2 linked regions of the Styela clava genome follow. The protein of the gene in region 1 purifies or fractionates together with the protein of each later gene. This does not show direct contact. Links are inferred from orthologs where the notes say so. Each region holds a gene or a part of one and is shown on either strand. Other genes may lie near its edges. The genes, in order: cleavage and polyadenylation specificity factor subunit 1-like and uncharacterized protein LOC120328595.

Region 1 (10,842 bases):
TTTTCAATTAAAATCATGAAATATAACAAGTTTCATAATGACATAGTTCAAATTACCTTCTCTTCTCTACTTATTTCCATCCTTGCTGCTTCAGTGTAACGAAGTAACAGAGAATTACCAAGTCTCGATCCAAGAAATAAATATCCTTCTTCAAGTAGAGTTATCTATATAGATGTATTTACACAAATATGTTATAAATGAACTATTCAATCAAAATGAAAATAGTCATTACTCATGATGGAGATTATTTTCCCCAGTCAGTAAAAAACGACCCATACCACATGTCCACATTGTAAGAATAAAAAACATACACTTCTGCAGTGAATGGGAAGATGCAGAAAACTACAGCGGGTTATCGAGCAGTGGCAAACAAATATATAGATGTATCAAACAAACTAAGACTCCTAAGATAAGATGAAAATGAACTTACACAAGTAGTTAAAACACTTGCAGCAGCTTTCTCTATATGGAAACTTCGGACACTTCTCATGCTATCTACTACAAGGGATATCACATATCTGAAAAAAGATGACACATTTGTATCAAGCCATGTAATTTGGTTAAGTATTTGATTATTACTACAACTCACAATTCTCCTCCTTTCAAAGTTACAACAAGTCTGTCCGGTGACAAAAATACAGCTTTGCTAAGATCAAGCGTTATTGCGAGCCCATCTTGGATTTCTGAGATTTAAAATGAAAATTTATCAGATTGGTCATTCATCATGGTGTACTCCCAATTTCATGCCCTACAGTAATTGATTTGATGACTTTTACTGCCCATTCTAATGAGCTAATATTAATTAAAATGAGGGTTTTTTAATCATAAAGTTAGCCGGCTTCAGTTTAAAATTGGCTATGACAAACAGTTACATAATAGAGTATATTCATTGTGATTTACTCACTCAATGGAAATGATGTTGAGTTCTTTGTGTGTGAGTTGAGTGACATACCATGGGGAGGACAACTTTGATTTAAATATATCATTGAAGATACAGCGAAAATTAAAACTCCTCCTGAAATCCAATTGAATGATTTGATATAAAAAGAGTTTATTGAATTACTGCTATATAGTATTAAGTACAATTTACTAATAGAGTCAGCAGTCACATTTTCAATATGTTTCTGGGGTTGAAATATCATGAATAGCAAACCTTAATTAATTAATTAAAACTTGTTTGTGAAAGAAGTCAAGTCAAATTATGCATGCTATCCCCAATTTCATTGTACTCAATTTACCTACATTAGTCTTTCCAAATTAGTGTAATTTTCTATTTAAAACATTGTGCACCAATTCCTACAGGATAGGATAATTCCATTAGAAAAAGACTTACCTATAGGCTTTGGAACTGCATAAACATATTTACAATCATATGGTAGGGAGCCAAGTGACCAGATAACTGGATGTAATTTTTCACTCACATTGAGTGATATTGCTATAATATTGCAGGTATCTTGACGAACAGCGATTCGACTGAAACAAAATATAAAATTTCTCAAATAAAAATAAAGCATCACAATTGAAAATTTAAGATTGGATATGTGAGAGCACTCGAGAGTGTTTAACTTTATTGAAAATAGTAAGTAAAAATTACCCTGATTTCATAGTAATTAGATTATGAAACAAACTAACATAGAATAATGAGATTTCCAAAAATAATTTTAATCTCATTAGTGATTTAGCTACTAGGAAGAATGATAATAGAAGTGTACACTTCAAAAGTATGCACAAAAATATATTCTCCTGTGGAAAAACCTAGAATATCTGGGAGTTACTCTTTCTATATAATAACTTAATCCATGCAAAGAAATAAAAAAATTTGGCCAAAAATATCATTGCTCACCCTGCCCATGTCCTCAGAGATTCAAACAAAATCAGCAACGTTGGTTCATAATATCCATGTAAAAATTTCATATCTTTCACAATCTGAACTTGAGGATCAACTTCCTTCAAATTTATCTCATAACTTGATAGAACATGACCCCGAGTTCTGTTGCAATTGAAAGATATTATCAATAGAAAATGCAAAAACCCCAAATAAGGTATTACCAAAAATCTATAAGCATATAATAGGAGCACAATCAAGCTTTGGATGAAGTATATTTACTGAAGTTGATTCGAAGCAATACGCAGATAAACTATAGACAGTTAGGAACCCAAAACAAGCCAAAAATCTCTATATTCCATGATATTTCAGATTTACGAGAGTTAAAAAAAATTCAACTAAAAAATTCCAGCTATGGAAAATGCTCTATATTGAACATTGCATACGGAAAACTTCAACTCCGACCTCCATTGTTAATAATTGTTGATTTGAGTGAAAACTTTCATGGTGGCGATTTGTGTAGAACCTGATAACTTGTAATTTGTTTATAAAAACATCATCTTGATTCTAAGATTACTTAGCTAAAAAATGTAGTAAAACATACCCTGCATTTGACAGTCCAACAGAATCATCAGTTACAACAGCAGTTTCACGGGTTCGGAATGGAAGTATTGCAATATTAGTACTTGTCAGTTGCATGCAAGCACAACGATTTTCTGGATCAGTGCAAATTTTTGGGATGGTGTTTCTGCTCACAGAACCGTTCTAAAATGATATGTTGGATTACTTTAAATAATCGAAATGATGTCAGAGCCAGGGGTTTCAAACCTAAATCCTTAATCTGTGATGTCAAAACAGTCAGGCCATTGCACCAATGAAATGAAGAAAGAAGATTTGCAATGTTTGAAACTTCAAAATATAAGAAATGGTATGAAGAATCCTATTGTATTAAATGGTTAAATTATTATCAAGATATTGAGCATGGCATCCTTATACATACGAATATCAAACGGTACATCAAATAAAAAGTTAAACAGACACAGAATTTTCTAGGAAATCTGTAAATACATACTTACCTCAGACAAATCTTCTTCAAAATAATGAAGTGAAGAAGTTTTAATTTCAAATGTTGATTCATCAAATTCAATAACAGAAAGCTGAATAAGAAATTTTCACACTTCACAATAGCAAATATTTAAAAAAAAAACAGTACGCCAGTTTAAAAATAAACAAAAAATATAAGTTCGACTTGTATTTACCATGACTTATGAAAATTATAACAATTTAATAGTTTTTGGCATGTTCTTGTACAGGCTCAAGATAGTTTTAAAACTTTGACACAGCCTGTATATTTTATATAATTCAAATACAAAATGAAAAAATGAATGAGTTCAACACACCTTAGCATACTTGAAGCTGAGCAGAATTGAATCTTTCGCACATCCTGCAAATCGGACTTTTTTCATTGACTGAATATTTCCATGTAGCTGCCATGTTCCAATTTGCTCCAATTTATCTTTACGTACTTTTTCTGTATAGATATTAACGACATATGATGTGAAAGTTAGTAACGACATTTTTCGAAATGGACAACTGGAGGAATCAAGATCAAAGATGTAATAATAGATGATATAAATAGTCAAATGAATATTATACACCCCGTTTGTAAAAGTATTTAAAAATGTATTGATTTCGACAAGAAAATGGACATTTTAATATTGGTCCAGTCAAGCAATGGAAAACTAAAATTTATTAAGTCACTTATGAAGTTACAAATTCAAGCAATCACATACAGACATAATCACTTCTTTATATTATTGCCCACCTAATGCAAATTCTGTTAAATAGATTTTCTGTTGAGCCAATATATCCCCCCCTTCCTGCCTTCCCGAAAAAGGGAGGAAAAAAAAAATATTCAGATATTGTTTGTTTTCTGATAATTTTATTGACAGCTATGACATCGATTTGTTAAAATGTTTTTAGAAATTATTGGATGGACTAGGATGAAATTTTTTAAGATTCATTAAAAAGCAAAAGGTTTACAATAAAGAGGCAGAAAATTAAAAGGTACAGGCATTGCAGCATTGTAATTGTAACATTAGATATTCTAATATTATTACTCAGGTAAAGGCAGTGGAAATAATTACAAAACAATCCCAACTTGTATGAATATACCTTTCTCATCTTTGGTGACGATCTGGAAAAATAAAATGTGAATTTAGTCAAATTAATTAAATTTAATTTTACTGCTGGTTCACTACCAAATCAGCAAATTCAGAAATAAGCCAAATATTCTGACTCAAATTATGGTGATACAAGGTAAACTTCGTAAAGGATAATGAAAATATGATAACATTTCTGCATTTTGTCAAATACAGTGATGTAAATATCAAATGTTCATTTTTGCAGTATTTCTGTATTTCGTCAAGTAGCCTAGAGAAATAGGATGAAGATGCCTAAAATAGAGGATCTAACTGCAATATATACTTACTTCTAACTTTTTCCTCAATCTGTAAATAGTTAATTGTGAAGCAGCAGAAACAACTAAGTCCTCGTATTTCTCTGAAGTGAAATTACAATGCAAGCAGTTTTCTATCCCTGTTGGAGGATGGAGTTGTCTGTACCACGCATACATCACGCTGTAGTCTACTAGCAGTACACCAAAACCCTACTATGCTATCAGAAACGTCGATTTCAGGATTTGCAGCTGAAGAAAAAATCTATGAACAATTAGATGAAAGGACAAACAATTTCAGAAATTCAAAGTTTGCTAGCGAACCGCGAAAATTCAGAAAATATGAGAGAAGTCGGTCTGGATTGTTTTTCCGACCTCCGACCCCGGAATTTCATCTATATGGATGTTCCCCGGACATTGATTTCCATTGTTTATTGCCCTAACAATGACCAATCAGCACTAAGTTAACAATGACGTAATAATTGCAATTTGTGGTAGGGTACCTTTCTGATTTTTGTCAGCTTGTAGTAGACTAAAGTTTTTGTTCTTTGGGATCATTAATAAACTGAGTTTTGTCCAATCTGTCTCTTACTTTGGTTGATTGCAAAATGCCAGTGTGACCCAGGGTTTCCTTTCTAGTTCTGTAGTTGCGTTGTGGTTACTGGTTTACGCCGTATAGTGGTGCATGTTCAGATGTTTAGGCTATTAGTCTACATAGATCTGTAGATTTGGGACTTTAACAGACAAATTATTTGAAGTGAAAATTTAAATTTTGATCAACATTAGGTTGGTGGAACAGTTGAGCAAAGTTAGTGGCATCGAAGTTCTGAAGTTCCTCATATCACGTTTTGGTATGAATCGATTATGGGATACCGGTAACGTATTTTGTTTTTATCAATTATTTTTTCGTCTATTGCTATCGTCTATCGTTTATGGCAGTATGAAGTCGAAATAAACTTATACTTATAAAGTAAAAAAAATGGAACTAATTATTCTCATTGTGTGTGTTATCAGTGGAATTGTGGCATGGGTTAATATTTATGTCACCTAGTATATACCTTTTACATATTTTTTAACTATTGCAAAAATGTTCAAAATTAGGCTAAATGCGTTCATGAATGTTAATCATGCTCAACAAAGTGAAAAACCCTGTTAAATAAAATAACCTTATCAAGCAATGAAACTAGGAAGAACGAGCATTTAGGGGTTCTTGTCAAGTAAGATCAGTTTTGCACACAGCATTGTGGCCGGTTCCTTTAATTACCGGAACGGACCCTAAATTACCGGAACGGACCGGAACGGGGTGGAAAACATACATAAACCTACCGGAACGGACCTTTAGATGTCTTGCAAATGTCATTTCATATACTTCCATGCAATTTTTATATTAAATCGGCAAACTTGGGGGGGTACAGTGGTAAATTTGATTTTTCTTAATTACCGGAACGGACCCTAATTTGCCGGAACGGAGTGGAAAACCAACATAAACCTACCGGAACGGCCCTTTAGATGTCTTGCAAATGTCATTCCATATACTTCCTTGCAATTTTTATAATAAATCGGCAAACTTGGGGGGGACAGTGGTAAAATTAATTTTCTTTAATTACCGGAACGGACCCTAATTTGCCGGAACGGAGTGGAAAACCTACATAAACCTACCAGAACGGACTTGTAAATATCTTGCGAAGGACATTTTATGTCCCTCCAAGCGATTTCCCAAGTAAAATGGGAAAATTGAGGAGGATAGAATGATAGAAAATAACAATTTCATTTTACGCCACCTAGCGGATGTAAATTGAGCAATGAATTCCTGAATCATCTCTTATCAATATGAATTGATGATAAAAATTGATAATCAAAACCTTCTTACATGTTATTAGTCTTTAATTTTCCTTGTAGATAAGATAACGTAGTCATAGATTCAGATTGAAACAAATAAAAATTGTTTCCACAAACATTCTTGTGCAGGTATTGTAACTATGTAGCACAATATGAATATCCACCTAAATCTGTCATTCATAGAGATGATGTTGTTATTTAAGTTCGTGTCACCCGTAAGACTGCTGTTCGGGCACTGTAATCTACCTTGATAGATTGCATATTGCTTCGTGTCCATATATTTGAGCATCGTCCTCTTGTTTACCTACATACATACAAATCTGATCCTCTAAAATGACTTCTCAAAATACTTGAATTTAAAATTTCAGCATAGGAAAATGCGAGAGTTGACCACGAGTTGAAAACGATTGTCGCTATAGCCTTTATAGCGAGGACGGTTCAAAGTGCTCCTACTGATTTGTCTACTGATAACACAGCTTCGAGCCTCCAAAGTTGAAATGCAGCAGGACTGGCGCTGGGCTGTTCGTCATGGCCGGAGATTTCTTTGCGACAGAAAAGCGACCTATGTGCCATTTCGAATCACGAATTTAAAGCAGATTATTTACGATTCTTGTAATTGTACTCCTAGTTTTTATATCTTCTCCATCAACCTGCCAAGGATAGAATACCAAGCCAGTTCGACGATTTTATCGGTATGTACAACTTGTATTTTATATAAGGATTAATATATTTATTGAAGTTTACTTCGAATGAGGAAATGGTGTCCATATTTTAAAAGTGTCTTTGTTGCAAAACGCTAAGATCTTGAATGTATATAATATATGAATGAGTCAGAATGATAATTTTTAATTGTACTAGTCGATATCAAAAATACCTTTATTACTTTTAACTAAGAGTTCCATTTTCTGGTTCAGATATTCAACGCAAACGTCAAAAGACAGCCTACTACGCTATGTCTAGTGCAATAAGATACCCATGTGCCACCTGTTCCATTGAATGTATTGACGAGTGCATTGAATGTGAAATGTGTGAGACCTGGACACATGCTTCCTGTCTTGGAGAACAACCAAAAGTCATGGAAGTATGGAGCAAGAAAGACATGCACTTTTTATGTGCAAGGTGCTTGTGCCCGAATCAAAAGTTCGATTACGACATGGCGTTACGGATGTTAGCAGGTCGCCCTTACTTGACCAAATCGTTGCAATGTTTGTTAGACAATCATCAAGTTATACCCTTAGAAGCACCACAATCTGAGAATCATATAAGAGAATGTTCAGTGTCTAAGAATATTTTGCAAAAGTTTCATTCAATCATGCTGGACTGTTTTACTCAATGTACGTAGAAGGCGATGGAAACTGCTTGTACAGGGCAGTATCCGTCTCGTTATATGGAACACAAGACTATCACAAACATTTACGCCTCTTGACAGCAATTGAAATTATGGAACATCAAGAATTTTACGACATAGAATTTCCTGCTTTCAAAAACCCGATTGATGATGATCGGGTTGTGACATCAAAATACTCGGATTTGATACATTCAGCTCGAACGGATGGATGTTTTTCAGAAATGATGCACATGTATGGCTTGAGTTCAGTTATCAAAGCTTCGATTCAATCTTATTACCCTCAAACCAGCGCCAACGTTTTCCTAAGCCAGCCTTTCACAAGGAAAATTTGTGGCCGTGACGTCAGAGCCACGCAACAATCGAAAACGACAATACTGTGGACCCAAATGACGATTCCTCCAACAGCCAAAGATTTTAGAACAAATCATTTTGTACCTCTCCTCGAAGTACCACTTCAAAAATACGATACGATTTTAATTCCGGATTCCCCTAGTATACTATCGGACTCGGAAACATTTTGTAATGATGACAAATTAATATCAGACGAGTCGATCAGCAAAGATGAACATGTTGATGCAGCAAATGACTCTGCAACTGTAGGTGTTGTAACTCCTGACATGCCTCATTCTATATCCGATACATGCAGAGTATCCAATAATCGAGGCGTTCCTCTGCCAAACGGAAAATTCCTAAGCTTGGAACATATTATTCAAATTTTTGGCCGTTGTGAACCAGGCACGGTGTTACCTGAAATTCCAACTGGTAGCAAAGAAAATGTATATTTTCTCATCACAAACACCAAAAATGCAGAGAATCGTAGGAATGGATACCGAAGCGAATTTTCGGACGATTGTGGCAAAAACCTCCACTGGCAGAACGAATTTGAGCATGAGTTCCTACGTTTAAGTTGGTGAAAAATTATAAGAAAGCACGTTTTATATTTTGCGTATAAATTTCGAGACCTAGTGGGGAAATTAACAATCTGCAGCTAAGTCAATAGCATATTAGTAAATTTTGAAGGAGTCATTTTAGATGATCAGATTTGTATGTATGTAGGTAAACAAGAGGACGATGCTCAAATATATGGACACGAAGCAATATGCAATCTATCAAGGTAGATTACAGTGCCGGAACAGCAGTCTTACGGGTGACACGAACTTAAATAACAACATCATCTCTAATAATGACAGATTTAGGTGGATATTCATATTGTGCTACATAGTTACAATACCTACACAAGAATGTTTGTGGAAACAATTTTTATTTGTTTCAATCTGAATCTATGACTACGTTATCTTATCTACAAGGAAAATTAAAGACTAATAACATGTAAGAAGGTTTTGATTATCAATTTTTATCATCAATTCATATTGATAAGAGATGATTCAGGAATTCATTGCTCAATTTACATCCGCTAGGTGGCGTAAAATGAAATTGTTATTTTCTATTATTCTATCCCCCTCAATTTTCCCATTTTATTTGGGAAATCGCTTGGAGGGACATAAAATGTCCTTCGCAAGATATTTATAAGTCCGTTCTGGTAGGTTTATGTAGGTTTTCCACTCCGTTCCGGCAAATTAGGGTCCGTTCCGGTAATTAAAGAAAATTAATTTTACCACTGTCCCCCCCAAGTTTGCCGATTTATTATAAAAATTGCAAGGAAGTATATGGAATGACATTTGCAAGACATCTAAAGGTCCGTTCCGGTAGGTTTATGTTGGTTTTCCACTCAGTTCCGGCAAATTAGGGTCCGTTCCGGTAATTAAAGAAAATTAAATTTACCACTGTACCCCCCCAAGTTTGCCGATTTAATATAAAAATTGCATGGAAGTATATGAAATGACATTTGCAAGACATCTAAGGGTCCGTTCCGGTAGGTTTATGTATGTTTTCCACCCCGTTCCGGTAATTTAGGGTCCGTTCCGGTAATTAAAGGAACCCCATTGTGGCCTTCTTTCAGAAAGGACCCCTGGATGGGAATCGCTGTCTTATACTATCTTCTACAAATGCTAAATTCCTAGTTGCCTAAATGTATACCGGTACTGGTATAAATTTATTTTGACTCCATCAGCATGGCAGACGATAAACTGATAAATGAGTTGATAAAAACTGATTACTGGATTATAGATTCAGAAGAGCAAACAAAGCCTTAGTAAGGTTTATAGCAAACCGAATTTAAGTTAGAAGGTTTTGCCAAAGAACAGAAGAAGTTGTACATGTCTGCATGTTCATTCAATTAAGTCCTAAACTACCTCAGTCTGTAATTTTGTAATGAGATAATTTATTTCAGTATTAAAAAAAGTAATAATAATTAATAAACTTACCTACAGGCTGACTGGTGTTTGAAATGGAGACCACTCTGTACTCATAGGTTCTGTAGTCAGGTAGTGGTGATAGCATAAAAGTCATATTGGAGATGTTGAAATAGGTGGCTTCTTCATAGGTTTTAACAAACCCCATTTCATCATTTTGTATTTCTGTATTTAGTTCATTAAAATTGCAATAAGGGCATTGTAATTAATCAAATTTGAATGGCGGAAAAACCAATGCTAGGGGGTTGTTGTGTGTGTTTGGATGAAAGAGGTTGGGCTGAAAATCCACTAGTTTACTGTGATGGACAATCATGCAATGTGGCGGTTCATCAAGGTAAATGCATTTGATAATTTATTCGATTTTTGATATAAAAATAATTAAATTTCATGTTGTATGCTGGCAACTTATGTACTGCTGGGAATGTCTAGAATAAATTGGGAGTCGATAAATGTCCATATGGGTGTGTATAATAGAAATCTGCTTTGATTATACAGTAATAAATTTTGATATTTTGTTTCAGCTTGCTATGGCATTGTCAAGGTACCATCAGGGCCTTGGTTTTGCAGAAAATGTGAATCTCAGGAAAGAGCTGCTAAAGTGGTAAGATGTTGTCTGCATTGTACCTTTGTGTAATTTCAGAATTTCCCATGTCATTGATTTACCCACTTTTGAATTTCACTTCATTCACTACTTTTCTTGTAAAACTTGACATAAACTGATTTCACCAGACTACATGACAAGTCACTGTCAAATTTTATCAATATAACATAATATTCTTATTTGACAGAAATGCGAGCTGTGCCCACATCGTGATGGTGCATTGAAGAGAACAGATAATGCAGGTACATATCCATTTAGTATAAATTTTGTTTGATGAAAACTTAAGTTTTCATGCTTTTATTTCATCATTCCCATGCTAGAATTTATTTCTTATTATTATGCAATAAATTGGCAGTGATTATGTCTTTTGAAGTGTCATGTTCTATGTTTTGGTACATTCTATAAAGGAATAAATAGTTCTTTTGTGAATTAAACTTCTAGCATAGCAAGTGTGGTTGTTTT
Region 2 (10,781 bases), on another chromosome or scaffold:
ATTATAAAATAGTGAAGTAAAAAAACATCCTCAACGGTTATCGGTGGGCCTTCTTTTTGTCGATGCTGATTGATATTCTTTCATGTTGGCTTTGACTTATTGCGTCGACGATTACGATTAGCCACTAAATTAAATATTTGTAAAATGCTTTTAATTTGAACGTAGGACGGCGGCGCTAGAATGTGTGGGTGATATTCGATATTCTTTTAAACACGAACAACGATATTCGAAGCTCGCGATATTAACATTAAATTCAAATTGGACATCCCGGCTTATGAGTTTTCTAATTGAACACCGAGATTACTAGCGTTACTGTACAATGTATCTTAATCAGTTACAGCATATGGATACCAAACATTAATTTCATATTATGTGATATATATATCTTTTTTTTCGATCTGAAACAATGTGTACTATGAACAACGCTTAAAGACCATTGTTTTAACCCGTCTGCCTTACAATAGTTAATAATTACATAGTATCGGTATCGGAATATCGGTAATATCGGCTTTTTTGTAGTATCGGTATCGGTATCGGCGTTTTTAGCTGGTATCGGTATCGGCGGCAAAAGTGGTATCGGTACATCTCTAGTTTGTACCTATCTAATCTATGATAGCGCTTTTAGGTGCTTTCTGCTTATGACCTTAAAATATCTTTTCGGTTGTTTTGACAAGCAAGGATTCTTGAGCTGAATATCCGTAATCTACCGTACTAATAAAATTAATAAACTAAGTTTTACGGATAAATTGAATATTGGCAGTAAATTGTACATAAATGAATGCAAAATCAGAACGAGTTTGAATATTACTAGGTGATCAATTTGTGACAAGTAATACTTAATTGCAGAGCTTTTCTGGAAGTTATCATCATAAAATAATTGGCAAAAGCTTTTATCCACATTTCAATGCAGTTTGGAGTTTGAGAACCGAATGACTTGAACTACAAACGTTTTTGAGGCATATTATCATCTTTTGGATTTTCAAAGTTGCTATTTTTTTTTATCCGTTTTCCGCTTTTTCATTCGCACAACTAATAAAAGAAAAAAATCTGCTCTTCCTGTCGCGGCACTATTGTGACAAAACGATTGCTATTTCCACATGTCTGATTGGTATCTAGGGTTAAACCATAATGTTCATTTCCTTTTAGCTAGCACGAACATAGTTTCCCCGTTATTAAGTTAGGATTGGGCTCCTAATTTGAACCGTTCAGTACGATGGGGTTCGGCGGGAGCATGCCGAATAGTGCATGGGTTCTCGGAAAGGTTAAGAACCACTAGGTTACGTGAACCACCTTACAGCGACGAGGAGTCCAGCAATTTTCTCGCACATACCTATCCCCGCGTGGGATTCGAACCTGCAAACCCATGCGGAATAATCAGAGGTGCGTTGGCGATCGCAATCCTCAAGCTTAGCACGATGCGCCACACCGCCGAGCCAGTTATTTTCAATTTCAACAACTGGGAAGGAAAAGAATCTCCAGAATAGTGCCGCTGGATTGTAAAAGCCGAATTGCGCAAGATTTGGAACTACAGCCAGATAATTTCGTTTGGACCTTTTATTCATGACGCTAACGATTACCACGGTCTGAATGCTTTTTTTTTAAGTAGCGGATTACTTTGTGATATTTTCATGTGGAAACTTGTACATTTTATATGTATATGTTTGTATTGTTCCCCGATTTGAAGGTCGGATAATCTCTTTTTGAACACACGGCCGTTTCGCCGTGCCTTTCTGGAACTGTCTCTCTCCACGTCCCGAAAAAGCTAATTTGTAATTTACATGTAGTTTTCACACTAGGCGAGGGGGCCGCGTTCGCGTGGTGATAATGTTCAATGTAGCACGTTGAAAATCACCAAACTTTTTGGAGACACAATACTAAATATAATAAGGCACCGCTCCCAATAAAACTACGTTCTGGTGGAGAGGTATAATAACTATTGAATTTCAAGCACCGTTAATTCAAAATAGCGATAATAGTTTGGCGGCGTTTCCGTGGCAGGAGCCATAACTTGCCTAAGGTAATTTGGTAGAGTGACTAACACGTGTCCCCCACCTTCAAAACTCTTGAATGAGATTTATACAAGTATGCCAATATTATTAGAAAATTGTACATAAAGGGAGCACGATCCATTTACCTTTCATTTGGAAATCCCAGCCGTGGGCGTCGCTGCTTTCTTGATGATCAGCTTGCGTACCTTACTTCGGTAACTTTGGCACCGGTTAAAAGATATAAACTTTACTTGACAAGTTTTCAGGAGAGCAATTCCACTCCATAATATAACCCACACCACCTCCCAAAACGACCATTTCTACAGACATCCTAAAGTATATATTTTAATATTGTATTTTTCAAAATTGATTGAATCCTGAAAGAATTATTTAAAATTGTCGCTTTCGAACTTGAGAAGACCAAACAGTCGTGAGAGAATTTCTACAGCTGATTAAACCTATTCAGGTACAATATTCTTCACAAGAGAATGTGCAAATAGGTAACCCAAGCGATACATTAAACATAGGGAATTTAATGACAAATGTGGCAAAGGCATTGCATTTCTGTCCATAGTTTTCACTAATATTTTGAAACGTTTTCAAATTCAATTCAAAACCTTTTCGAATGCCATATTTTTCAGCAATTACACAAATTGGACTCCACTTACTAAGTATAAATGAATTAATGTCTTCGCACCATAATTTACATATTGCATGCATGGAGAGATTTAAAATTAGTAGGGACCTTCGACAGTAGCAATGTGTAGTACACCAAAGTAACTAGTTAGGAAGCTGGGTAAGTGGCAGCATATGTACTCATGAGCTCCCAGTCTTATTTCATCCCTTTACAATGGTATTTATTACACACACACATAACGTTATGGTAATTGCGATTTCTACTCATCTCCACTCTACCTCAGGTTAAGAGGGGTGATCAATTTCAAATGTACTCCAGAACAAAATCTTCAAAAACAGTCCTCAAAATCCTCGAGCCATTCACATGAATAACTAACTATTCACAAAATATGAATTAAAACCTATTTAAATTTTTTTGTTTCAATGACATTTTTTCAATAAATGATTATTAAACAACATTATCAGAAAATATGGTTGCTGAAGTATTGAATTTCTAAAGAGACCGTCTCCGTATGTTCATCATATTTGATCTGCATGTTCAAATATATGCATCAGTTGTTATCTCAGTAAAACCGGAGTGTTGGCATAATAACCGCAATCGGAATTATAAGGTCTTTCAATAATATTCACAGAGTAGTTCACTTTTCGACCTCCTCATTGCCATTAACTTCATCAGTTCCAGGAGGAGCATCAGAGTCTTTATCTTTGTGCTTATGCTTTTTTGCCTTTTTATGTTTGCTTGAATGCCTGTCATCATCTTCATGCTTTCTGCGCGATGATTTATGTCGGGATGGGCTGTCGTCTCGATATCTTCTTGAACTGCTGCTCTCTCTTTCATGCCCCCTATCGCGGTCACGATCTTTATCTCGGTCTCTGTCTTTATCACGATCTCTATCCTTTTCTCGGTCACGATCACGATCTCTTTCCCTATCGCGGTCACGATCTCTGTCTCGATCACGATCTCTATCCCGAGGTCTGCTATCTCTGTAATCCCTTCTATCTCTATATCTATCACGGTCGTAATCTCTTCTGGAACTACTTCCCCGCTCTCTCCTGTATCGGCCATCATCTTCACTATGTCGATCTGTTTCACTATCCGAGGGTCTCCTATGCCGATCTTCTGAGTATTGATTGTAAGGATCGCCACCATCTTGTTGACCAAATAAAGGAGGGGGCACAGTGTGTGTGACTGGGGGTTGAAACCCTGGCGGATATCCAGGAGGTGCTGATTGTAAATAATCTGGCGGTGGACCAACGCCTGGTGGAGGGATTCCAGGCGGAGGAACATTAGACATCATAAACGGTGGAGGGACACCAATAGGCATACCTGGTGGTGGTTGATTGGGATTTATGGGTGGGAATGGCAAAGGGGCATTGGGCAAAGTCCCGGCGATTGGCTGCCTCATCTGAGACAAAAATACTTGAGTTGCAGAACTTGGAGGAATTGACGATGGGACAGGTGTGGCATTTTGTGACTGATTTTGTACAGCTGTGGCAGCTGCGGCTGCCGCAGAGGCCGCTAACAGCTCATCTTCTTTCCTTCTACTAAATTGCAAAGTTGATATGTTTCTGACAGTATTTTCAAATTTGGCCAAAGGAACATATGGTGGGGTGCTAAACAAACTTGTGGTACCATTCTGGATAGGTTTTGGTAAAGGCAGTGATATAACAGGCATGTTATCTAATTGTCCTCGAAATTTCTTTTGTTTATCGCAGTATTGCTTCCAGGTATCTTCATTAAACCCGTAATTGAAATAATCAGAAATGTCAGCTCCTGGCTTGCGCCATGGTTTGTCATCAAGCAAGTCTATATTTGTCTCCATAACTGGAGTACCGTTGATATCACCTGGAGCCTGCATATCCAAGCCTTTTGTCACTGTAGGTTTTGTAGGTACAGGAACTGGATTCCTATAGAAAGTTCTACTCAGTCCTTGGGCTGGAAAATTCCCAGGTGTTCCACCAGTTGTGATTTCTCCAATCGTAACTTGTACATCATCATCTGAATCTTCGTCGTCATCCTCATTTTTAGCGGCAATTTCTTTAGCAGGTAGAGCTTGATTGTCAAGCTTAATTACCGGCGCCTTTCCATTTTCAATGACAGGTACCTCTAAAGCAGGAGCCGGCTCATGATCCATTTTTTCTTGGACTTCATTTTCAATTTTTGATAATGGTTTTTCATTTACATTTGTATTTCCTGAATCAGGTGGTTCTGATTTTTCTTTAGTAGAATCACCGTACAACCATGAATCTTCATCTTCTACATCAGCCATCTTAGTTGCGATGACAATTTAGTTTATTATATCATGGAGGTGTTTCCTAGAAAAAACAAATAATCAAGAAATGATATCATCAGGTGAAAACAATTGACCATAACAAATGGAGGTTGCAATAAATAATATATACCGGTATACAATATTGTCAGAAAAATTGTGAATCATGCGCAACTTCAATATTGAATCAAAAATTAATAAAAGCCTGCAAGCATGGAATTGAAGCAAATGTGAAAAGAGTATTTTATCCAAGTTCTTACATATTTTATGTTTCATATCTTATGTATAATACATTACTAAGGGCATATTATTCTATTCTGATAAGAGATTCACTGCACAAATAGTCTGACATTGTTTTCAATCTCATCAGTATGTTGTCACATTATGTTTTCGACTCCAGATAATGTTAGTCTTGTAGATCTACACTAATATATTTGCTTGGTATCAATAGGTACATTTATGTCACTTGCTCCATAATAAACAATATTTGTTCCTTATAGAGTTTGTGTCAATGAAACATAGAAAACATTTCCTGAACATTGCAATTAAGGTAAGGTAAGCTTATTTGCGAGAAATATTCAAATTTAGGTAAAAACTATATCTCTGGATTGCGGAAATGACAAATCAAAAAAAATTCTAGAATACATAATATTAATCCAATGAATGGCCTCCAACTGAAACAAACTATGAATAGATTGAAGCAATAAGGTATTTTAGACAAATAGTAAAAAGGGCCCATAGGTTAGAATGGTATGGATCTTCATGTATGATGCCTTTCTTTATCAATATTTTCGGGATCTGTAAACTGTAATGTCAAAAAATAAAATATAAGTGGGAATGGTGCCAGTACCACAAAATAATAATTTTCATTAGAAATGGCAATAATACCAAATGTTAAAAGCGACATATGCCATAAAATGATCAACATATTTTTGACTTTATGTCGTAATGATGAACTAAGAGTTGTGACATTGGTCCACACAAAGTACGTTGCTATAGCGACCAGGGATACAAGCAGTGTTATGTAGGGAAATGAATAATAAATTAGCCCCCCAATAAAAGCATGAATTACAACTAAGATGGGATGAAAATACAATGCTGCATAAAGGGGGCCACTCCATTCCTTCGCAGCAGCTATAAAAGATAGTATAAAAGGTCGGAATAGTAGCATCAATATGAGTGTATATGCATAATAGATACAAACTATTGTCATTAATGGATACACTGCTTCTTGAGAGCAATGAATGGTCTGAGTATATTCAATCTGTGGGTTATAAAACATTGTATACCAGTCTGATAACTGATTTACACCACAAGATACAAGTTGTAAATCACCTTTCGGCTCACTAGAAATAAGTGATAATAAGCAAGCACAAACACATTCGAAAATTGATAAAAGTATCTGTGCTACCATTAGTTTCAAAGATTTCTGGTTTCTTAATATATAAATCCAATGAAGCATACAAGGTAATACAGCCATAAATCCAAGATAAAGCCAGTCATAGATATCAGGAGGTTTGTCACACTGAATACAATACTTTGTTTCGTTTGCTTTATATCCCCATGGACAAGCACCACACTTGTCTAGTTGCCACGTATCAGGTAATTCATCATCAGGTGGATAACCACAGTATCTTCCAATGCACAATGGATTCATAGCTTCAGCCATGGTACTCAAACTGATGCTTTCATTAGATTTTGAATGTTTTACTATATTATATTATCTAAAGAAACAATTATCATAATAATAAGTTATTATTGAACCACCAAAAATGCACGACAATCCAAAAACATGAATATTTTGAACAGACAAATTCACTGTAAAATGAAGTTGAATGAAATTTATCTTGTTATTATGAACTGAAAAATATTTTATTATATTTCCTATTTTAAATCAAACACATAGTATTGAATAATTGAACGATTTTATAAGTTTAAACATCATTTTCATAGTCTTTAAGATTCTTTCTTTTCAGATTCGCATTTGTTGTCTCTCCATACTGATACACCATATATCCGATAACCATCGGAATGGTGAAGTATAGAAATTTTTCTCTTGTTCTCCTTGCAACGTTCACTAGGCCATTCTGAAAGTAACCTTTCAAAGGTGGTTGCTCAAAAGGTGACAGCTGATACTGGATTTGTGATGTCATCTTCACTCCAAGAGTGCCAAATCCTTTTCCCATTTTTCCATCAGTAAGCTTCATGTTGCAATTTTCTTGGGAGTTTTTTTGTTAGAAAATTTAATTAACAAACTAGATTCATGAATAAAAACATATAATATAAATTAGAGCTTAGACAAAATGCAATTTATTTCATAACACTATTTCAATCAGCCTTCCACTGATGTTGCCCATGGCCATGATACTAAATATACAACAGCCCAAGAGCATTGAATTGAAGCATAAAATTGTTAATTTCAAGGTTTTGAATGGTTATTTCTACTAAATTACTTCTATGAATCTGTGCACAAAAAAAATTAATATGAAAATTGTATTACCAAAAAACTGAAATGAATTTGTAAAAAGTCGAACCAGAAAAAACACGTTTAAGTTATTTTTTAAGAAAACAAATTGAGAAAAAATCAAGTTAAATATAATCTGCTGAAATCAAGTCTCCAATATCTGCTTGAAAAAGTAATGATAAAGCATTTGCGAAACTTTGAATATTACAAAATGAAACATTGCCTTATCGTGCAGCCATTGCATGCAATTTCTGTCACAATAATCTACTACAAATATCAGAAGCCTTTTCTTTATTGCACTCTGCTTTGGCAATACGAGATCCAAACTGGATGGCCCTTTTTGGAAAAACAGCAACATTCCTTAGGCCAAGATTATAAGCCGTAGCCCTGAGAAGAAGTTTTTCTCCTAACCCTCTTCTATAAATCAAATTGGTTTTAGAAGAGAGTGGGATTTTATTTAAAAATGATATAACATTTTCATCTAAATATGGAAACCTTGCTTCAGTTCCATGATCTGCAATAATTCTGTTATCACGACCAAGGTTTCGTGATGATATTCTTTCCAGTTCCATCATAATTTCATTGCCAAGTCCTTCCCACCCACGATTTTCGAATGCTGATCGATGACGGGAATATCCTCCAAGCTGTTCATCAGCTCCCATACCACATAGAACTACTTTTGTTTTGCATTCAGGGTGTATTGTCCCACCATATGCTGCAAACCATAAAGCACAACCAATACTATCGTCAAGAACAGTTGTTAATGGATATGTTAAATCAGCAATTCTTTTTATTCTAGTTTCCCTTAATTCGTCTAATCCTATATTTATTTCAACAAAATTCCAAACTCTATTTGGGCATAATTTTGATAATTCCTCATAGGACATCCTACCAGTACACCTGTCTGGGACATCAAAATTTTTATTTTTTGGTGTTTCAAAAGCAACATTAAGTAAATTTATCGGTTCCGAAACGGGAACATATTCATTAGCCAGCAAAGCTAGAATGCTACAATCTATTCCACCAGAAAAAAGAATACTTATTGATGAATGTGAGTTTGAATATTTTGGCAGATTTGATACACGTCTTTGTACCGACTTTTTGAGTACATCTGTAAAAAGATCCACTAATGGCCAAATATTTTGGGATTCACAGATAGCAACCAAAGCATCTAAGTCTGACATTTTATCTACTATTTGGCTTTTGACAACTTTCTCAAAAGAAGAATTGAATGTTTCTATGTTCAGGTCTATTGCAATATGATCATTCTCTGCAGATCCATTTGATTCCATTATTTTATTTGTGTAACCAGTGTCATATTGCTTCATAACATCTACTTTGAGGCAGTGTGAGTTTGTAATTGATTTCCAAAAATGACATTTAATCTCCCTATTACATTTTTGCAATTGTGTGTCGATGACATAGATTCCATCAGCCTGGATTTCTTTCCATGACACATTTGAATTGATGTTTGTTGAATGTTTCGCAACTGATGCTAATATAAAGTCATCGTCACCTTCATGATATAAAAGACTATGGCGACCAAAATAATCTCTCCCAAAATACAATCTTTTTGTTGAATTTTGAAAAAATACGAAGGCATAAGGTCCGTGCAATGAACTAAAAACTTTGCATATTTCAGTATCATTTGCGCATTCACTCAGGCGATTAGCAAGAATGACTGTGTCACAAAAACCGTCCTTTACTTCTAATCCACCAAAGACGTCACCATTCCATTGCAAAAAGTCTCCATTTGCAGTAACATAAGGCTGTTGAGTCGCAACATTTCCTTGTAAATGCAGAACAGTAGAAATCATGTGTAAATAAAAGCCATTGCCGATAACTATTGATTTGGTCCCAGTAGCATCCGGACCTCGACGCTTAATGAGAGGTAGAATATCATCTAGAATATGTTGTGGCACATTTTCAGACTTACTTATTATTGCTATTATACCGCACATAATTATAATTGCCTACAGATGCATAGTTTTACCAGCTGTCTGTGTAAGAATATTAAATACCAATTCATTCAGATCAGAAGCTGAGACATAAGAAAGCACTCAATAATCGACATGTTCAATGACACAATTCAAATTGGTAGCCTTTGCACTATCTGCTTTTGTGAGAGGGAAACTGAGAGCATGTAACAGTGAATTGATATAGTTTTATAAAATGATAGTAAGAGTAATCAACTATATAGTATCAATCAATTTTAATTTGGTCACTCTGGAAGAATTAAAACAACAACAAACGGACAAACAAAATGCAAAAGACCTGGAGGAACGAACATAACTTAATTAAAAAGTTGAAAACGTACAAGTACGTGCCCGTCCACCAAAAACAGTAAAAAGAACCATTCAAATTCGATGAGAACTTTTGAATTAACAAATTCAGAAATTGGCATAAATCAATTATTCCATAAATATCATTGAATCCCATCAAAAATAAACGTTAAAATGAAGTCTTTCGCTATTTTTAAATGTATGAACAAATGTATTTACATACGTAAGAATGTTATATTACTTAATTGAGATTATACTTCAGTATTTGGAATCCACATATATTACACTGCACTATTTGTCTATGAAATATTTTGCACCTTTAAAATCAACCTCCCAACAATTCAGACCTGTGGATAGTAGCCTATTAGACTATGTACCTACCATATGGTACAGTATACTATTACTACCTATATTATATAGCATAGCCTATTTACCAAAATATTATATCACAATATTAACAGTTGACATTGTATTTCTCAAACGTTACCGTACAGTAACATTTTTAAAAGACACAAAGATAATATCCTACGCTAGGTAGCAAAACACTTGAGTGATACGATATCACTGTATTATCAACATTACCGTAACATACGGCCATATACCTACAACAGATACGGTACAAAGAAAATGATTTTCAATCTAGTAACTAGTATCACTATCTTCTAACTAGTCTGACAATGTTTTAATACGGCGCCATATTAGGTATTATTTAAGATAATGTTCTTTTAATACGAATATTACCAAAAAGAAAAAGAATCGAGAATAAATTGAAAACACGCGACTTTTCTCTTTTTTTTTTTTTTTTTTTAATTGGTTCACTCATTGAGTGATTTCAATAAATATGTAAAAAATAAATAAACAAATAAAATAAATTATAGTCCACATTCCATTCATGATCCATTTGTTAAATTGAGTTTCACAGTATTTCCAGTTTGTTTCATCAGTAATAAGTATCCAACGATAATAATGTTTTTTTAATAATTACAATGATATAATACAATATAAAAGGAAATACACAAAATTAGTAAATACAAAAAACTTATTATAAACCTGATTTAATATCTAAATTAATGCTTTACATAAATTTTGTAATTCTTTTTCAAAGGGTTTGTCTACTCTGGAATTTTCTATATTTTTTCTA

The links.
Region 2: the proteins of cleavage and polyadenylation specificity factor subunit 1-like (region 1) and uncharacterized protein LOC120328595 fractionate together in Homo sapiens (co-fractionation; 8 studies listed by BioGRID and IntAct, with this or other methods). This does not show direct contact. The link is inferred for Styela clava from reciprocal best matches to the Homo sapiens genes CPSF1 and FIP1L1.

Annotation. Positions count from the first base shown.
Region 1 is NC_135259.1:8,801,213-8,812,054, forward strand, and holds the start of cleavage and polyadenylation specificity factor subunit 1-like, read right to left. Parts: upstream 4,646-10,842; 5' UTR 4,461-4,645; coding exon 4,317-4,460; intron 4,023-4,316; coding exon 4,001-4,022; intron 3,357-4,000; coding exon 3,226-3,356; intron 2,983-3,225; coding exon 2,902-2,982; intron 2,591-2,901; coding exon 2,430-2,590; intron 1,991-2,429; coding exon 1,844-1,990; intron 1,474-1,843; coding exon 1,334-1,473; intron 1,016-1,333; coding exon 905-1,015; intron 684-904; coding exon 590-683; intron 519-589; coding exon 431-518; intron 165-430; coding exon 57-164; intron 1-56. Other genes in the region: uncharacterized protein LOC120337467, read left to right, coding at 9,999-10,113, 10,301-10,380, 10,568-10,622. UniProt on the Homo sapiens protein: Component of the cleavage and polyadenylation specificity factor (CPSF) complex that plays a key role in pre-mRNA 3'-end formation, recognizing the AAUAAA signal sequence and interacting with poly(A) polymerase and other factors to bring about cleavage and poly(A) addition.
Region 2 is NC_135256.1:13,262,721-13,273,501, reverse strand, and holds uncharacterized protein LOC120328595, read right to left. Parts: upstream 5,023-10,781; 5' UTR 4,895-5,022; coding exon 3,263-4,894; 3' UTR 3,015-3,262; downstream 1-3,014. Other genes in the region: JNK1/MAPK8-associated membrane protein-like, read right to left, coding at 5,655-6,563; cytochrome b-c1 complex subunit 8-like, read right to left, coding at 6,829-7,101; asparagine synthetase domain-containing protein 1-like, read right to left, coding at 7,613-9,319.